Linked DNA regions of Ovis aries. The protein of the gene in region 2 interacts with the protein of the main gene of each other region in a biochemical or structural test. Links are inferred from orthologs where the notes say so. Each region holds a gene or a part of one and is shown on either strand. Other genes may lie near its edges.

What was found. The genes of interacting proteins can lie anywhere in the genome.
Region 1: the proteins of SDCBP (region 2) and FZD7 interact in a biophysical measurement, tested with the Homo sapiens proteins (2 studies listed by IntAct, with this or other methods). The link is inferred for Ovis aries from reciprocal best matches to the Homo sapiens genes SDCBP and FZD7.
Region 3: the proteins of SDCBP (region 2) and SDC2 form a complex in vitro, tested with the Homo sapiens proteins (3 studies listed by BioGRID and IntAct, with this or other methods). The link is inferred for Ovis aries from reciprocal best matches to the Homo sapiens genes SDCBP and SDC2.

What each region holds. Positions count from the first base shown.
Region 1 is NC_056055.1:204,348,117-204,354,187, reverse strand, and holds the start of FZD7 (frizzled-7), read right to left. Parts: upstream 3,684-6,071; 5' UTR 2,909-3,683; coding exon 1,184-2,908; 3' UTR 1-1,183. UniProt on the Homo sapiens protein: Receptor for Wnt proteins.
Region 2 is NC_056062.1:37,742,574-37,748,093, forward strand, and holds part of SDCBP (syntenin-1), read left to right. Parts: intron 1-189; coding exon 190-299; intron 300-2,974; coding exon 2,975-3,136; intron 3,137-4,775; coding exon 4,776-4,951; intron 4,952-5,520. UniProt on the Homo sapiens protein: Multifunctional adapter protein involved in diverse array of functions including trafficking of transmembrane proteins, neuro and immunomodulation, exosome biogenesis, and tumorigenesis.
Region 3 is NC_056062.1:80,613,073-80,619,264, forward strand, and holds the start of SDC2 (syndecan-2), read right to left. Parts: upstream 3,684-6,192; 5' UTR 3,233-3,683; coding exon 3,173-3,232; intron 2,050-3,172; exon of another isoform or gene 1-2,049. UniProt on the Homo sapiens protein: Cell surface proteoglycan which regulates dendritic arbor morphogenesis.

The sequences.
Region 1 (6,071 bases), on a different chromosome or scaffold from region 2:
CAGGTTTAAGGGAAGAAAAAGAAAATGAAGGGAGAGATTTCCCTGAATGTTTTAACAGAGCCTGTTGGATCATGTGTTCTGAATTAAATTTACTTATACACAGCAAAACCCCTTGCATTTCCTTTAGCCAAGTCAGTACCTCTGACAGAAAGGGGTATGGAAGCACACCGCCCTTCACTTTTCCTTAAAAAGGAATGTTTATTACAACCAAATTAACATCCAAAGGGAAACCTCAGATTTGCGCTGCTTTGCCTATAAAAGTTGCTGTCTTCACAGTTGTGCCTTTCCACAGGGAGACACTTGTTTCCTCTTTTGTCTCTTACAACAAAGACAAGGGAAAAAAATGCATTCCTATTTTGAAAAGCAACAAGTCATCACTTCTTTTCAGGATATTAAACCAAATAAAACAGGCTTCTTTCTTCCTTCTGCTTCCCCAGAAAATAAAAAAGTAGTAGAAATACCTACTACTTGCCTCCTTTTCCTTGTTGCAAAATGTTGTCATTTCTTTTGCATCCTCACATCAGGATTCTAGGAGGCTGGCCTCCCAAGACTTCAAAATGGTTATTTTACAAGACTTGAAAGGAGTAGAGGAAGAAAAACAGGCGGGGAGGAGGCAGAGGTGGAGACTGTAATGTCTGACCCTGGAAATTAACCCATCTGGACTCCAGTTTGGCCCCAGTGAAAAGAGATTATGGTTTGACCACCGCTTGACAAGGACACTGCAGGGTGTCCTCCCTTTTCCTAACAAAGCAGCGGCCTCAGACAGCTGTACCTTTCACCCGGGCCTCACAGGAGTGAGGACAGGCCACTTGTCTTGCAGCAGGGAAATCGCTCACAGTCCCAGTTCGGCCCAGAGCCGGGAAGAACTCACAGCAACCTTCTGATCTCAATCTTTTCCGACAGGCCCAAGGCGGCCCGTACCGCACATGATTAACATCACTGTTACCATCACCAGCATCATCCTGCAAGTCTTTGCCAGAAGTCTTTTCATCCAAACCGTATTTCCACCCAGGCCTCTTTTCCCAACCCACATATATCTACATATATCTTCTCATTTCCAGGTGACTTCTCACTGGAGCGGAAGGAGGTTCCAGAAACAAGTCCCCCCACCCCGCAGTTCTTTCCCTACCGCCCCTTTCCCACCCCCGGCGGCGGGAAGGAAGGGTGGGGGAGGGGCCGGGGTTCATACCGCAGTCTCCCCCTTGCTGCTGTGGCTGAGTCTGTGGTAGAAGCGGCGCCACGACTGCAGGGTCTTGCCCGACCAGATCCAGAAGCCAGTGGTGATGCCGACGATCATGGTCATCAGGTACTTGATCATGAAGACGGTAAAGTCGGGGCTCATGGGCGGGAAGTGGCCTGGCGGGCAGGGCACCGCGTAGCTCTTGCAAGTCTGCAGGAGCCAGGTGCGTTCCCAGTGTTCGCGGAAGGCCTGCTCATAGAAGTAGCAGGCCAGAACGATGGTGGCCGGCACCGTGTAGAGCACGCTGAAGACGCCGATGCGCACCATCAGCTTCTCCAGCTTCTCAGTCTTGGTGCCGTCGTGCTTCATGATGGTGCGGATGCGGAAGAGAGACACGAAGCCCGCCAGCAGGAAGGACGTGCCGATGAAGAGGTAGACGAACAGGGGCGCCAGCACGAAGCCCCGCAGCGCGTCCACGCTGGACAGGCCCACGTAGCACACCCCGCTGAGCAGGTCCCCGTCCACCTGGCCCATAGCCAGGATGGTGATGGTCTTGACAGCGGGCACCGCCCAGGCGGCCAGGTGGAAGTACTGCGAGTTGGCCTCGATGGCCTCGTGGCCCCACTTCATGCCGGCCGCCAGGAACCAAGTGAGCGACAAGATGACCCACCAGATGGAACTGGCCATGCCGAAGAAGTAGAGCACCATGAAGAGGATGGTGCAGCCCTCCTTCTTGGTGCCCTGCGCCACCGTGCGGTAGCCGTCGTCGGAGAAGCGCTCCACGCACACCGCGCGGTCCTCCAGCAGGAAGCCGGCCACGTGCGCCACGGCCACCATGAAGTAGCAGCCTGACAGGAAGATGATGGGCCGCTCCGGGTAGCTGAACCGCCGCATGTCCACTAGGTAGGTGAGCACGGTGAAGAGAGTCGAGGCGCAGCACAGCACAGACCACACGCCCACCCAGAGGCGGGCGAAGCGCCTCTCCTCCTCCTTAAAGTACATAAGGCCATTAGCGCGGCCCGGCTCGCAAGGGGCGCCGCAGTCGCGCTCGCCAAGGAAGCGGTAGCCCAGGTAGGGGGGCACCTTGAGCTGGCGGGGGCACGAGAAGGGGAAAGCGGAGCGGCCCCGGCCGTCGGCGGCCCCCGGAGGCAGCGCGGTGAAGGGCAGGTCGGGCAGGTAGGGTGCGGTAGGGTAGGCGGTGGGGCCGCCGCCCGCGCCCCCGGAGCCGTCCGACGTGTTTTGGCCCACGCAGATCTCGCCAGCGCCGTGCACGGGGAAGTTCTCGCAACGCAGCCGTTCAGGCCATTGGAAGCCGAACTTGTTCATGAGTGCTTCACAGCCCTGGCGGGCACGCTCGCAGAGAGAGCGGCACGGAGGGATGGCCTTGTCGAGCACCGTACACACGGGTGCGTACATGGAGCAGAGGAAGAACCGCAGCTCGGGAGAACACTGCACCTTCACCAGCGGGTAGAACTGGTGCACCTCGAGGCCCGCCTCCTCTTGGTTCGTGTGACCCAGCAGGTTGGGCAAGATGGTCTGGTTGTAGGCGATGTCCGTGCACAGAGGGATGGAGATGGGCTGGCAGAAGCCGTGGTCTGGCACTGAGATGCCCTTCTCTCCGTGGTACGGCTGCGCCCCGGCGCCCGCGGGCAGTGCGCCCAGCAGCGCCAGCGCCAGGGTGCAAAGGTCCAGAGGCAAGCGCGACACCGCCGCGCAGGAGCCCCGCATCGCCGGCCGCGGGTGCAGCGGCACTCTCAGCCCGAGAAACGCGACCAGGCAGCCGGGAGAGGCTGGGATCGGGGGAGGCGCCGCTGCGCCGGGCGCATGAGAGTCCTCCCGGCGCCGGGGCTGGGCCGTGGGCGGCGCGGAACAGAGGGCGCTGCAGCTGGGGTGCTCCCGCCACGGGGGCGCCGCCGCCTCCGCCCAGCACTGGCGCAGCCGCCGGGGGTCCAAACTCGTCTCGCTGGGCTGGGGGCGCAGATGGGGGGCCGCCTTCTCCTCTTGATGCGACGTAACGGTGCGGCTTTTTCTGCGGCGAGGAGCAACAAGCGTCTCCGGTTACCCTTCAAAGTTTGCCCAAGTCTCCCGACTCACTGAGCTCAATAGGGCGCGCGCCGCACCCCCACACTAAGTCTGGCCCCGGCAGGCGAGACCCCGGCGCCCCCGCTTGCTAGCCAAAGCCGCCGCCTCAACGGTGCTGCTCCGCCTCCTCTCCTCGAGGCTCCGCTCGCCGCCGCCTCCTCCTTCGCCTCCTTCTCCGCTCCTTGCTCCTTCTTCAGCCCCAGAAGCTTGGCTCCAACTTTCAGCCAAACGGCTAATTCTCGCTCTGAGTCCGATCGGCGTCTTGGAGCCAAGAGCTCGGCGAGTTCTTTTAAGAAATCCAGTCACACTGCGTCCGAGGCTGCGAGGTCCTGGTGCCCGCGGCCTGGGCCTGGCCTCTCCAGCCCCGCGCAACTCTGAGCGGTGAGGGAGCGCTGCCCGCCGGGAGGGAGCGCAGAGTAACGCCTCGGAGCCGCGCAACTCTACAGAAGAAGCGTCGGGCTCTCAGGGTTCCGGACCGCCCCGCCCCCTCCCCTCCCCCCATTCACAAACCACTCCGGGGGCGGGCCCTCGAGCTCCAGGGAGGCCCAATAGCAGCCTTTGTTTTCTGTGTGACTGTCTTCGGATTGGGTGGAAGTCGGAAGGGGCGGGCAAGGGAACGAGAGAGGCTAGGTCTGCGGAGCTCTGGGCGGATTCCTGAGGGGAGGGGCAGGGGGCTGGGAGGGAAAAGTTAAGAAAAACTTTTACCCTGAATTCACTGGGGGGAGGGGGTAGAGAAGCGCACCAGAAAGGGAATTTGCTTGAAATATTTGTTCCTTAGTGTTCCGGGTACACTAAAATACAGATTCCTGAACAGAAGGGCGCACCGGGCAAGGCTTTTGCATGGAGAGGTTGAGAATAAGAATAGCACCTCCCCGGAGAGAAACGCGACCCGGAGTTGTGTTTAGCACTCCTTGGGCTGAAAATGCTGGATTTGGAGGGGGGCTTTTAGGTGACAGGATCCTAAATGCGGGGTTCGGAATGGGGCAAGAAATGGGTGCGCCTCGCGGATTGCTTTTCTCTCGGCAGACTTAGACCACGTGAGGCCACAATCCCCGCTCACCCCCTCTCCGGGTTGTAAAAAGGAGGAGGGGCCCAGGCTGAAGAGAAATAGGAGTCGGGCAGAGGGGGCCGGCTTAAGGCAGGAGGAAGTGTCGACCCCTCCAAGGGGACAGGGCCGACGAGCGGCGGGCGCGGGGGACTCAGGCTTCAGGCCACCCTGCCCGCACGCACGGCCCAGAGTCTAGGGATTTGGTATAGCTTTAGTGAAATCGTAAGAAAACTAGTGCGGGAAATTATTGTAAAAAAAACCTGCGGCCGAGTGCCCAGAACACTGTACAGGTTTACAGCGAGTATTTAATTGCCTATTTTCTTTAGTTCCGTGGCGTGTGGCCCTTGGGAGTCCCACCTTCGTCGCGGAAGCAATGATTTGATTCTTGGAATCTGCGTAGAAAAGTTTTAATGCATATTAGAAACCAAAGGCATTTGCTAATTAAAGAGTTTCCAAAACACAAAGAGAAGTTATCCTTGTTCTCGGGTAGCGTTTTCTGATTGGCAAGCGTTCTTTTGTTCTCGATCAAATCTTCGCCCCGCTGAAGGCACTGGGCCCTGGCGCGCGCTCTCTGGTTACTCACAGCGAAATCAGAAGTTACAGCGGGTGGAGGTGGGGGATGTTCCTACCTTCTCACCGGACCGCGAGGAATAGCATGAATTCCCATGCAGCAAAGTGACATGCTAAGCAAGGAAAAATCTTCTCTGTGACACTCCCTCTCCGCCCTCCCCCCAGTCCTCTGCCTTAAAAAACGTTACTCCTGGCCTAGCCCTTCCTCCTGCCAGCTCAGTTCCAGGCGCTAGAGCCCTGAGGGATTCTGATCAGGATGCAAGTTTGCAGAAGTTAGAAGTTGCTGTCTCTGCTGCCCGGAGTGAGCCTCTTCTCCAGCAAGAAAAGACAGATCCTGAAACCGAAGACAATTAATTGGGTTCCCTTCCATAGGAGACTTTGGCCTCCTCTGTTTTTCTTTTTTTCTATTACTGCTTTATGGGGAATCTGTTCTTCCACTTCACAGTTCTTTGTCCTCCACTCTTGTTAATGGGCCTGGAAGGTTGAATCATTTAGGCCAAGGTAGGGTGTCAGACTGCTCACATTCTCCATCTGGTCCTCAACAGGAATCCTCGTCTTTTTTCTTCCAAAGGATCAGTTTTCCCTTCACACCCAGGGCTTTTTTTTTTTTTTTTTCTTTTGGGCAGTCTGCCTCAAGGTAATATGAAAGATTAATAATATTTTCTTTAAACATGTTTTCTTCTCTCTTTGTATTTTTCAAGGGCTCCTCTTTTTCTTTCTAAATTATTATTCTTATCACTTAACATTGGGGAGCCTTGATATTGATTGCATTGAAAGATGCTGTTTAAAGACAATGCAGCTTCTTTGCTTTGTCATTTAAAATGTGTGTGTGGTGGGGGGTTGGAAATCCTTTTTTCTCTCTGTGAGCTCCAGGATATTCTCCTTTTCTAAATCAAATTTTCATGCTTATTCATCAGGCCACTGATCTAAGTCATCTTTGCTTATTGAGGGAGAAATTGCAAGCACTGTCATGTAATAAAATGAAAACCGACAGGATAAAATACTGTCTTAAATACAGCTAAAACCAATTTAGTTATGAGCTTCTCCTCATAGCCTCAGACAGCTGCCTGATGAGGTAATAGGGATAATTTTTTTTTAAAGAGGGGGGAAAATAGCCTTTTAAAAATTCAAGGGACAAATGAAATATTTTTTAAAACAATCTGTGTATTAGATGCAGAAAACCCATCCCCA
Region 2 (5,520 bases):
TTATTTTTCTGTTTTCCTTTTCTAATTGTCATTACAGAGAAAGGGGTTTTCCAGATTACTAATTTAAATTCATCCTAGATTTTATAAAATCAATGTGATTTTTAAAAATACAAGTAAAAGTCCATAATAACAATGTTTTTTTTAAATAGTCTACTAATTTTTTTTCTCTACTGATTCATTTGTTATTAGATCTCTATCCTAAGCTATATCCTGAGCTCTCTCAGTACATGGGCCTGAGTTTAAATGAAGAAGAAATACGTGCAAATATGGCCTTGGTCCCTGGAGCACCAAGTCATGGGGTATGTATAATGTAATTCGTTCTGAATTATATAAAATCATACCTTACACAGAGATACAAGCTAACTCGTCTTTGTGGCAAACTCACAAATTTATAGCCTTAGCATTGATCTCTTCTCAGGATTGCCTTCTAGGTATTGCTTTTTACACAGTCTACTTCCTTCTGTGCTGTTACCACTTTTCTGATTTATTAGGAGTTAAAGATACAGGTGCCTTTAACTGGTACATTCTCCTTTGTCTTCTGCATTTAGTTACAGACCTAGTGACTCTGCTTCTGGTGTGTTTCTTGTATTCATGTTATGCATTGTAGGCTTGCTGTAGCCCTGTCCATGATTTATACCTCTCACCTAGATGTTACACTTGGCTCTTCTTCCAGTAACTCCTCTAGTAACTTGTTATATCAATGAATGCTGAGCTACTGCTAACTTTATCATTCTGAAATTCAGGTCTGTTACCTTTTTTTTGCTCATAATCTTTTTAAGTTTAAAGCTTCTTACAGTTTGACCCCAAATTCTTGGCTTAAATATAGTGTGTCTCAGTCTTTTGTTAAGATTGTTGCTATAAGACTGTAATACCTTACAGTACTTGTCATAGGTAAATGCATAACTTCATGAAGACAGCCTTTATGTCTCTGTTGCTGCCATAACTCCCATGCTTAGTACAGTACCTGGCTTTCAATTTATTCACCAAATATTTATTGAAAACTTGCTTACATCAGTCAGGGTCCAGGTGGAACAACAGAAATCACACAAGAATTTTAACAGAGATAACAAGAAATCAGAGAGGTTGAAGAATTGAAAAAAGCAAAAGCGGAACCCAGAAAGCTGCTTCTCCTAGAACTGGGGCATACGGGATGGGGGTTACAGTTCGCAGAGCCAACAGTGTTGGTGGAGGAGCCCCGTGAGCTGGGCCTCAGGGGAGGGCCCCCTGTGATGGATGCTGGTACCTCTGGGGGCTGCAGGGAGGCTGTGCTGCCAGTGTCTGGAATCTGGAGACTGGAGTCACCTGCTGCCAGCAGCATGAAGGGCTGGCCCCAGGCAGTACTGGCAGGAGCAGGAAGCAGACAGGAAGGGGCAGGCCCTGGCACGTCCTCCTCGCGAGGGGTCCTGACCAGAAAGCCATGGCAGAAGAGGGCTCACCACAGAGGGTGGGCTTGGAAGGCACGGACAGTCTGTGACGCTTGCTGGCCTCTCTTCTCTTCAGTGTGCCCACAGGCTTCTTTCTTCATATTTCTTCACATTTGTTGACGCGCAACAAATATTTTCTGGTAAGGGAACCATAGTAAGTACGTTCAGCTTTACTAGCCAGTATATACAGAGACCTTGAGAGGCTTCCGGGCAGAAATGAGCTTGAGAGGCCTGAGAGACAGGACCTCGGTGAGGGCAGATGAGACAGAATGTGGCTGCAGATGCACTGGGGGGTGACATTGGAAGGGCTGTCAGGCCAGGTAGTCTGTGGCCTTGTGGACAGGGTAAGGGGTTGGGGGTCTGAGTTGTGGGATTAACAAAAGGGTTTCAGTGCTTGCTGTGTGGAGGGCAAATAGAAGGGCAAGAGTAGATGGTGGTCATAGTAGCCTTAGCAGGAGGGAGCAGTGGTCATGTGTTGGTCATATGGATCATGGTAAGAACACCGAGTAAGCACTTAACTGTACTTGCTGGAAAGAAATTCTTTTCCAAAAGTTATACTCCAAAGCTCCTCCCTTTTGTCCTATGTTTCAGCTAAACTAAATTCATTTGCTTAATTTTTTCTATCCCATTGCCTGATTTTTATGCTTTTATAGCTGTAATCATTGAATTTTTGTAATTCTTCAAAAGTTGTATTTTCTGGTATTGTGCTTGATTAGTGGTATGGCTCTTTGTGTGTGTGTGATGTCCTGGTGACTGTGATTCTGAACGGAGACATTGGCAGCCTGTGTGTGTGCGGCTGAGGTTTCTCTCCCCCATCATGGCTGTTCTGAGCATCACGGTGTCAGACCAGAGCTTTTCATGACAGGTTCCGGTTAAGACGCTTTGGTAACAAATATGCTCTTCCCTCATTTTCTTTGGTAGAGGAAAGGGTCCACTTAAAACACTAAACTCATTTTGGTCAAGAAAAAAAAATTAGGAATGTGAGGCCTGGTACCTAACGGAGTCCCTAGTACAGCTATTCTCCATACAGTTGGTTAATCCACAGATGTTTACCAAAGGGATGAAAAATAACATTTGTCTTGTGTGTGTCAGCACTTGACTAGTAGGTGCTTTTAGTCCTTGTAGTGGAGCTGTGAGGTAAGAAGTTTGCCTCTGTAATAAAAACTCTGAAAGGGTAAGTACATTGTTGAAGGCCATATAAAAGAACCCTCAGGAAGATGCTGTGTGAGTTTAAAAGTAAAGTACAGCCTTTATAAAGTTCAAGGATAATATATTTGAGTTGAAAACAAGCCAGGGTACACATAAAACAAATGCCAGTGAATTCATCGGGCAACAGAGTCATTGAGTCTGCTGGAGATGGTGTCTGGGGGGGTAAATTACCTGCAGAATTAGTTTTAAAAAACAAAATAGGGTCATTTTTGCAAAACTCATATCTGAAGGAAATAATCGGCAGATTACATTTTAGGAAACCACAACAGAATATGTTCAATTTTGGATTTTCTCAGGGCGCGTGTTTGCGAATACTGACGTGTTGCATGTGTCTTTGGCAGCAGTTGGTGGCACGGCCTTCCAGCATGGACCACATGGTGGCCCCTGTCACTGGTGGCGACACTGGGATCCGCAGAGCAGAGATCAAGCAAGGGATCCGAGAAGTCATCTTGTGTAAGGATCAAGACGGGAAGATTGGGCTCCGGCTGAAATCCATAGACAATGTAAGTGCTTTCAGTACACTTGTCTGATTAGCTGTTATGTGACCCAGTTACAATTTAAAATGTAAATGCTTTAATGAAGTGTAATGGTGCTCTCTGATCAAGACTACTTTTAATCTGCTTTTCCACGTGAGATGCTACCCTGTTCTGAAGAGGCAGAGCTGGGACTTGAGCATTACCATGGATGAATTTTTTCTGAGTCCTTTTTCTGGAATAAAGTTCACTAGTCTGCGTGTATTATAACATAGTTCATACAAGGAGAATGCTGGCATTGAAATAGGGTAACGTGTGGAAGTTAAGACTGATAGGTGAGGGTCAGTGGTCTTGTGTATTTTTAAACTTAAAGACGATCATGTGACTTGTAATGTGGTTTGGGGTTTGTTATTTCCATCCTTGAATTTGACTTTCATGGGGCATTTTCCAGGCAACAGTGACTTTCTAAAGTACATTACTTCACCTCTCACCTTACCAGATGGAAGAAATGAAACCTGGTTACTCTGTGGGGAAGCACTTAGGATCACTAAGGAGGTGCTGAGTCTTTACCCTGATTTGTGGGTTTCCAGGTTATTTATTGGGCTTCTTTTCAGTCTTCGGTCTCATAGCTCAGCGCATCCAGCCTTTGCATGTAGAAGATGTGGCGCCTGGCGGAAGATGTTTGAGGCCAGTCCGGGCCCTACCTGCCTCCCCAGAGGCTGAGGGCATTGTGTCTTTGCACACTTGTGGCTTGTGTGAGACCCTCATTGAGTGTGCTGCTCTGGGAAGCTCGCACTTCCCTGCCCTCTCTACATCCTAGAGAGAGACCACACTCTCCGCAGCTCCACCCCTGCAGCAGTTATCCTTGCAGTGGTTTGTCCAGTGGCCGAAGCTTGTAGGTGTAGCCACTCTGCTGGGTGCCGTCCTCAAGTACAGGATACGCAGCACCAAATCTGAGTACAGGCTACGCAGCACCAAATCTGGGGCAGCTCAGGACGGAGAAGGGGTGCGACCTGTGGTTGCTTTCATCTCTTACTGGCACATGCCTTTTACACTTGGCTTGTTGATAGTGTTCAGCATCTGAAATTTAGTTTACATGAGTAAAAATAGCCTGTGGGTTTAGTTCTCAGATACCTGTACTTGAGTTCTCTGTATTTACCTCGAAGATTTTTAAGAACGGGGGTTGTATTCCGTGTACCCACCTTTTTAGGCTGTTTAATAGTAGTGATTATGCGTAATTTAGCAAGCGAGTAAAGGAATTCTTCAGCTCAAAAGGTAAACTTCTGACCTAAACCTATCACTTTTCTTAAACTTCCAACACTTTACTGTCTTCCCTCCTAAATAATGACCAGGTGCAGTAATACCTGTTTGGTATTTTATCAGACTCATGGAACCTTACATTTCTTATAGTAATCTGACTTTATTTTCCTTAGTTTTTTTATTCCAAGGTGGAGGGGGTGATGGAATTTGGTCAGGTGAGTCATGATGTGAGCTAGAAATTACCACTCAGATCTTCCTGTTGCCTTGATAGCATTTTCAGTTTCCTTCTTGGGAGTAATGAAACACACTTGTGTAGTTTTCTCTTTTTTAAAAAAAAATTACTAGAGTAGCTGCCTAAACAGTTGGTTCCTGATTTTCCAGCACTTACTTAGTGATTTCCATCCTCCAGGGTATATTTGTTCAGCTTGTCCAGGCCAATTCTCCGTCCTCCCTGGTGGGCCTGCGGTTTGGGGACCAGGTACTTCAGATAAACGGCGAGAACTGTGCTGGCTGGAGCTCGGACCGGGCGCACAAGGTGCTCAAACAGGCTTTTGGAGAGAAGATCACCATGACCATTCGGGACAGGTGAGCCAACTAAACGCCACATGTGGACATTAAGGACTAGTTTTCCATTTTCTTAGGGTTTTAAGGTTCTGGAAATACAGCATTTTGTTGCGGAAAATAATCAAATATTATTGATTAGTTTTATATTTATACTCTTGTAGTTCTGTGTTGCTTTCACTTTCTTACATAGTTTGACTTTTTAAAAACAGTATTCTGGTTTTGCATACACCTTATTTCAGAGCTTACAGAAATTTGTCCTTTGAGAAGTTCCTTTCCTGTCTTAATCAGTTTCTCTGAAAAATGAAAGGTAACAGCAACAAGTGTCTGGACTTTGCCCCTGGTTTCCTGCTCAGAGTGGATACATGGGGGCCTACCAGTTCCCAAAACCCAGCCTGGCCTTCTGGGTGGCTGAGGCTCGAGTCCTTGGTGGGAGCATCATCTTTAGCTTGTTTATAATGGAACTTGCGGTACCTGTGCTACGGACACCACCACCTTCTCGGCCACGCAGGGGTTGAGGGGCAGACCTTGTAACACATTTTTAGCTTTGGCATTTTTGTTCATATTGGTTCAACTGGCTTTTGTCTACCTTT
Region 3 (6,192 bases), about 43 Mb from region 2:
TGTTCCAGGTCCCAGAAGTAGGACTTGGAAGGTGTACTCAGATTCCTCTGGACACCCATTCTTCCACAGGCCTGATCTTAATAAGATCTTTCCTTCCTAAGAGACATCTACCTACTGCTAAAATCCAACTAACAGAGAAAGAGCCCTTGTTCCTCTAAGATTCCCTAGCAAGTATAATTAGCTACATTACTAGAGCAGCCAAAATTTATTTTTTCAAGGAACTGCAAAAGGTTATATGGTTCCAATTTAATTTTTCCTTCGAATGCAAACTTTCCAATGCCTGCCTTTCATAATACATGAGAGGTAATGCATGGGTCCAGATGATTTGACAATTTCTTTTAATTTACACACATCTAAGCATGGGTATAAAATTCCACTAGTTCAAAACACTTCCTTTTCTTAAACATATCTCCAGTTCACATTACGTGTTTATAGCAATCTGCAATGTATTATTTCTAAAGATAAACAATCATGTAAAAAATTGATAGAAAAACGGCAGCATATCACTACTGCCACACTCCGTCAGTCTTTCCCCTCGCATGGTCAGTGGGAAGTATAACTGCACGGCCATGACCAGGCTCTCCCTGCTGTTTCCAGCATGCAGAAACCAAGGGGCACTGGTTCCCTTCCACAGACAGATAGCCTTGAGCCTTAGTTGCTGAGAATCTCGTTTTCTTTTCCCCCTTGAACTTGGTATAAAACTCAAGAATGCACTGCGGACACTTTTCCTTCCAAAAAAAAGAGAGGCTCTGAGTCCAGATGATCACTATTTCTGACTCCCTGGAAAACAGTTGCAGTTTTCCCATTAAAATGAAAAGTACTGGAAATAATGTACTAGAATGGCTAAAATGTTGAAAAATGAAGTTTTCCATTTATGTGGCTATACTTGAAACAAATAGAGACTGAAAAGTAATTTAAATGAACTACTGGCCTTTCTGGGCCTTAAAACAGCTGCTTTTGAGAAAAATTGCCTCCCTCACAGACTCTCTGCTACAGTCTTCATTCATGCTACAGTTGACATTTTAAAAATCTCTAATCACCCTTTTGAATGATATTCCAATTCCTGAAAATGGTATCTACCACGGTGAAACACCTCATTTGGAAAGCATCCAATTCTGGCTGGAAATGAGAAATACTAGAACCCCAAAGAGTTGGGGCAGGGGGGAGGGTGTCACCGGAGAAGACAGGTATCGTTCAGCCAAAAAGCTTCCTTATGAATCACTGTTGGATTTAAGAAAAAACCCAGGGAAATATTCTTCCTGTAGAATCCTCAAATAGTAACACTTTCTAGCAAATCTCCAAACAGGACTCAGCAAAAAGGGACCTCCTTAGCCCCGCACAGCTTTTCACGCAGGCTTCACTAGAAAATCTTTAGATAGAGTTCTCCCTTTGCCCTGTTTTGCAACAAGATGAACAGTAATGATTTTCTGAAAGAAACAGAGAATCTGTGCAAAGAGCCAAAGTTCATAACTGGCTGGGAGATTACCAATCCCAACGGATAAAAACGATAGTATGTCAAAGAGAAATGCTCGGAGCTCTACAGCCAGCCGGAGCACCCAAATGTGTTCAGTCTACGCTCTCCAATCTCCGCGTAACGTTTGGCGACCTGCTAGCACACCCAGAGCCCCTCCGCACACATGATAAATGCCACATCGGCTGCTCGGTGCCAAAGAGGTTCCCCAATCCTAAATCGTATCAATTTAAAAGGAAAAAAAAAAAAAAAGGAGGGGGCCGGGAGAGAAGGGAAGAATAACACGCCAAAGGCGAAAGGGGGAAAAAAACCTTACAAAACCACCCCTAAAGATGACATGATTTGTCTTGGAAGGGACGGTCCGATTTATTAGAAATGGACACGTTGATAAGTAGCCAAGGGAGGAGGTATGGGGAACGAGAGGAGGGTAGAAACAGCTGTCCTCCCTACCCGAGGCCCCGGACCGCGCTGAGGCTGCAGACGGGCTCGCGGGTGTTTCGGGGTTCCACCCAGCCGGACAAAGCTCGGGGCGACCAGGTAGGGGCCGCCAGGCACAAGGGCAAGCCCAGGAGGCATTTCCCTGTAGAGGGCGCTCACTGGGCGTCGTAGGGAAACCAGCTCCAACCCTCGAGCCAGAGGAGGGGAAACCCAGTTCCCACCACCAAGGCCGGGGAGGGAGGCTGGGTTGCCCGCAGCCGGAGCCAGAGAAGAGACTCCCCCGGGCCTGGGGGCACCCCGGCCGGGGTCCGCGAGAGCGAGCGCGTCAGGCTGGAAGCTTCAGGCTGCGAGCGGCCAGGCGGCCCGAGGCCGAGTGCAGTGCCATCCGCACCCCCGTCTCGCCCAGCTGCCGCGCTCGAACGCGATCCATACAGAGATGCCCTCCGGCCCCTGATGGCCCGCGAGCCCCCTGGACCCTCAAGCAGAACGGGTCGGCAGAAATGGGAGTCCAGGGTCCGCACCCCGGCATTTTCGGGTGCATTTTCCACGCACTCCCCCCGCGCCCCCAGCAGGACCCAGGACTGCGCGCCTCCGCGGGTCGCGTTATCCCGTAGTGTCTGCTCCCTCACCCCAGCCACTGGGAACATCAAACAAAAGAACTTTTTTGCAAACTTTCCTCTCCGGACACTTCGCGGGTTTCTTAAAAAGCTTAGCCCCATCTTCCCAGAACCTGCATTCAATCCAGTAGGGAAGCTGGCGCGGGGGACGGGGGGGGGGGGTGGCGCGGGGGGAGGGTGCATGGAGGAAAGGACCCCCAAAGTTTCCAGGCCGTCCCCGAGTCTCGGGGAGCGCGCGGGGGGGACCAGTTCCCTCGAAGCCCTATGCACGCTTCCTCTCTCCCGTCCCCCTTCCCCATCGGTCCTTCTCGGCGACGCAGCAAGACCCTCGGGAGGGTGAATAAGTTGGGAACGTCTTCAGCGGCCTCCGCGGTTCGACAAAACGGCAATACCTTCGCTCTCATCCCGGGGTACCTCGGGGTAACTTCAGCGAGAGGCGCTTTTCTGCGGAAAGGGAAAGGGGAGAAGGCGTGGAGCGCATTTATCCCTTAGATCCCCGGGGGATCCCCAGCTATACGTCTGGCAGCGGGGGACTGGGTGGGGGGGCATCCCCCAGGGGGCGCTCCCCGATTCTCCGCGGGGTCTGCGGACTCGGCTCGGCCTCCGCACCTTAAACGGCGCGCGACCCCCGCCCGGCCCAACTCACCGACTCGGCGGACACGCAGGCCACCAAGACCCAGGTGAGCAGGATCCAAGCGCGCCGCATATTCCTCCGGGACCGGTGGCTCCCAGCTGCCCGCTTGCAACGAGGGAGAACACGAAGCTTCTCGCCCAGCGCCCGGCGCTGCTCGCGCAGAAAGATCAGGAGCAGAGCTGCCGCAGCGACCGCGGTTCGGGGGACTCGACGGGACTCGGGGGGCTCGGGGCTCCGGAGCGCCCGCTTCCTCCGGCTGCGCCCCGGGACCGCGGCGCCTTCTCACTTGTTGGCTCCTTCACTCCCGAGGCCGGATTGTGGCTCCGGGCGGGGGAGGCGGCTCGGAGGCTCTTGTTGCTCTGCTGTGGTTTTACTCCTCCGCGGACTCCTTCCCTGTGTCGCTGCTCCGTTTCTGATTCTTTTGAGGAATAAATTAGATGGCTTGGAATGTAGCTGCAGCTGAAGTTTGGGGGCAGAGCGGCGGGGGCGCGCGATCCGCACGGCTGCAGCTCCCGGAGTATCTGGAGAGTAGCGCGTCCGAGCCGGGCTAGTGGCTCAGCCGCGGCGCCCCTCCTCCGCCTCCTCCTCCTCCCGCGCCGCCGCCTCCCTCCCCGGGTCCTCCTCCTCCTCCACCCCCCACTCCCTTCCTCCTCCCGCTCCCTCCCTCTTCCCTCCCCAGCCGGCTTCTCCGGACTCCTCCGGGCCGCCCGAGGAGAGGAGGCGGCAGTGTGACTCCCAGCGAAACCCGGGAGAAATTCCTCCAGGATTACGCCCGGATTGGCAGCTCCGGGGACCAGTGGCCACAGGCGGCTCCGCGCCGCGGCTGCGCCGGGTCCGCTCGTCCTCAGTCCATGCTCCAGCGCTCTGCTACGCCTTCATTCTCTGGCTTCTTTCTCCCCTAGTCTCTCCCTCCTTTTCCTCTCTCCTCCTCCGTACTCCTTCTTCTCTATTTCCTTTTCACTTGCACTTTTCTGGAAGAAAGATCGGTGAAAAACGAGATATGTATTTATTAATAGCTTTTCTGCCTGCGACAATTGGACTAGCGGTAAGAAACTGCTCGGGGTGGGGGGCGGGAAGCCACGAAGTTTACAGATGCAAGCAGTATGAAGTGTTTCTAAGTCTCCAGTTCATGAAAATTGTGTTTAAAAGAGAAGACAGTCAATATAGTAAACGTATATTGAGTATTTCCCACTCTCCCTAACCACCCCCCCCAAAAAAAGGAAGTGGAGGAATACTCCCATAAATTAAAAATGCAACACTTTCAAAGCTTGTAATTTCAACTAAAGACTTAAGTACCATTTTGCCTCACACAGTTTAAGCCCCTGAGGTATTTTATAGGCTCCATTTCAGCACAGAAATAGGAAGCTACAAATAGGGCAATTTGATGAGAATTGGATGGAGACCTTGAATAATCACCGATTTAAGAGAACTTTAAAGAAAAGAGGGATAAAGTAATTTCTAGTTTGCAAAAAATAGTATTATTTCCTGGATGGAAGTAATCGATCTGAAACATTTTGTTGTGAAGTCTTTTTTTCAATTCCGGGTCTATAGGACACTATACAACATGGCAAACTGCATAGTTCTTTCCTATTTCTAGCATTATTTTTCCCTCTGACTTCTGAAGTGAATGAATTATGGAACCATTCTGCTCCTAGAATGGCTGCTCTAGGAAACCAGGGAACTTTCTATCTTGTTCACCACTGTATTCTCATTCCTGCTTCATAAAATACACAATAGATATTTCTTGGATAAACTTTGATCTAAAACTGCAAAAGTATCTGCCTGCCTGCACTGCAGGAGACACAAGAAATGCATGTTCCATCCCTGGGTGGGGAGGATCCCTTGGAAGAGGAAATGGAAACCCACTCCAGTTTTCTTGCCTGAAACATCCCATGGACCCAGGAGCCTGGGGGGCTACAGCCCAAAGGGTCACAAAGAGTCAGACACACCTGAGCACGCACAGATACTAGACAGTGAAAATTTTTGAACTTGGAATAAATTAGACTCATGCTCTAAGTGAGAATTACAATGTCTTAGTAACATTTCATGGAAGAAGTCTCAGAGAAAGAAATTTAGAGAGCCGGAGGAAACGTTAAAAGCACTGAGTCTGAGAGGTCCACTTCTTTGGTTTAAAAGTCCCAACTACCAGGCTCCCAACAGGCAAATCTAAGGGGTTGGCATCCAAGAGGTAGTTTGGAAAAATGGAAGAGTGGACAGAACAGAAAAATATCAGGAGACTGGGAGCTGTAACTTCCACAGAAACTGAGCTGGTACCTGGCGGATCGATGTGGGACTGGGTCTTGCTTGGTTTTGGGGAGAATGAACTGTGACGGTGTTTTAAGGTGGATTCTCTGTGGTTTGAACACAGCTGAATGTGGCCATTCCTACTTCTGCCAGGCTGCCAGTCCAAGGGCCACTGTCATCCTGTAACCTGGATGAAAGTATTCTTAGCTCCCCTCACCAATACCCCGTATCCCATCCCCTCCTGCCCCCACTCCCACCACCCCCCACAGAAAAGGGTCTGGCTAAACATGCAGAGTCAGCAGCTTCCAAGTAGGGAGACTCAAACCCCAGTCTCCGGGTTTCAGAACCTGTGGGTTCCATAGAATTCATCCATGGGTTGAAGAATTTCTTGAGATGGAGAGCTTCTACAACGAGTTTCCAAAGGACAATGAACAATATAAGAGAAACGTCATCTCTATTCCCAAAAGAGACCCAGTCTGCTCTCCAGGCTTTGGGCAAGGCCACTCCTCCCATCTCCCCAACAGTTAAGAACCCATCAAATAAACTAGAATTTTAGTGAAAGAGGAAAAAGCACTTCTCGACTGGCTGTCACAGCTACTGATGTTTATTGGGTCATCCACCTAATGAGCATGGAGACTGCTGTCTGTTTCAGCTTAGGCAGACTGGTAAAAATGAATTAGCAGATGCATCTGTGAAAGGAATGCATCTATGCAACTGATGACATACCCCAGATCTCTTGGCATTTTTGAGACTCTCAGTGACTTGGTATTTTTTTAATAAATCATCTG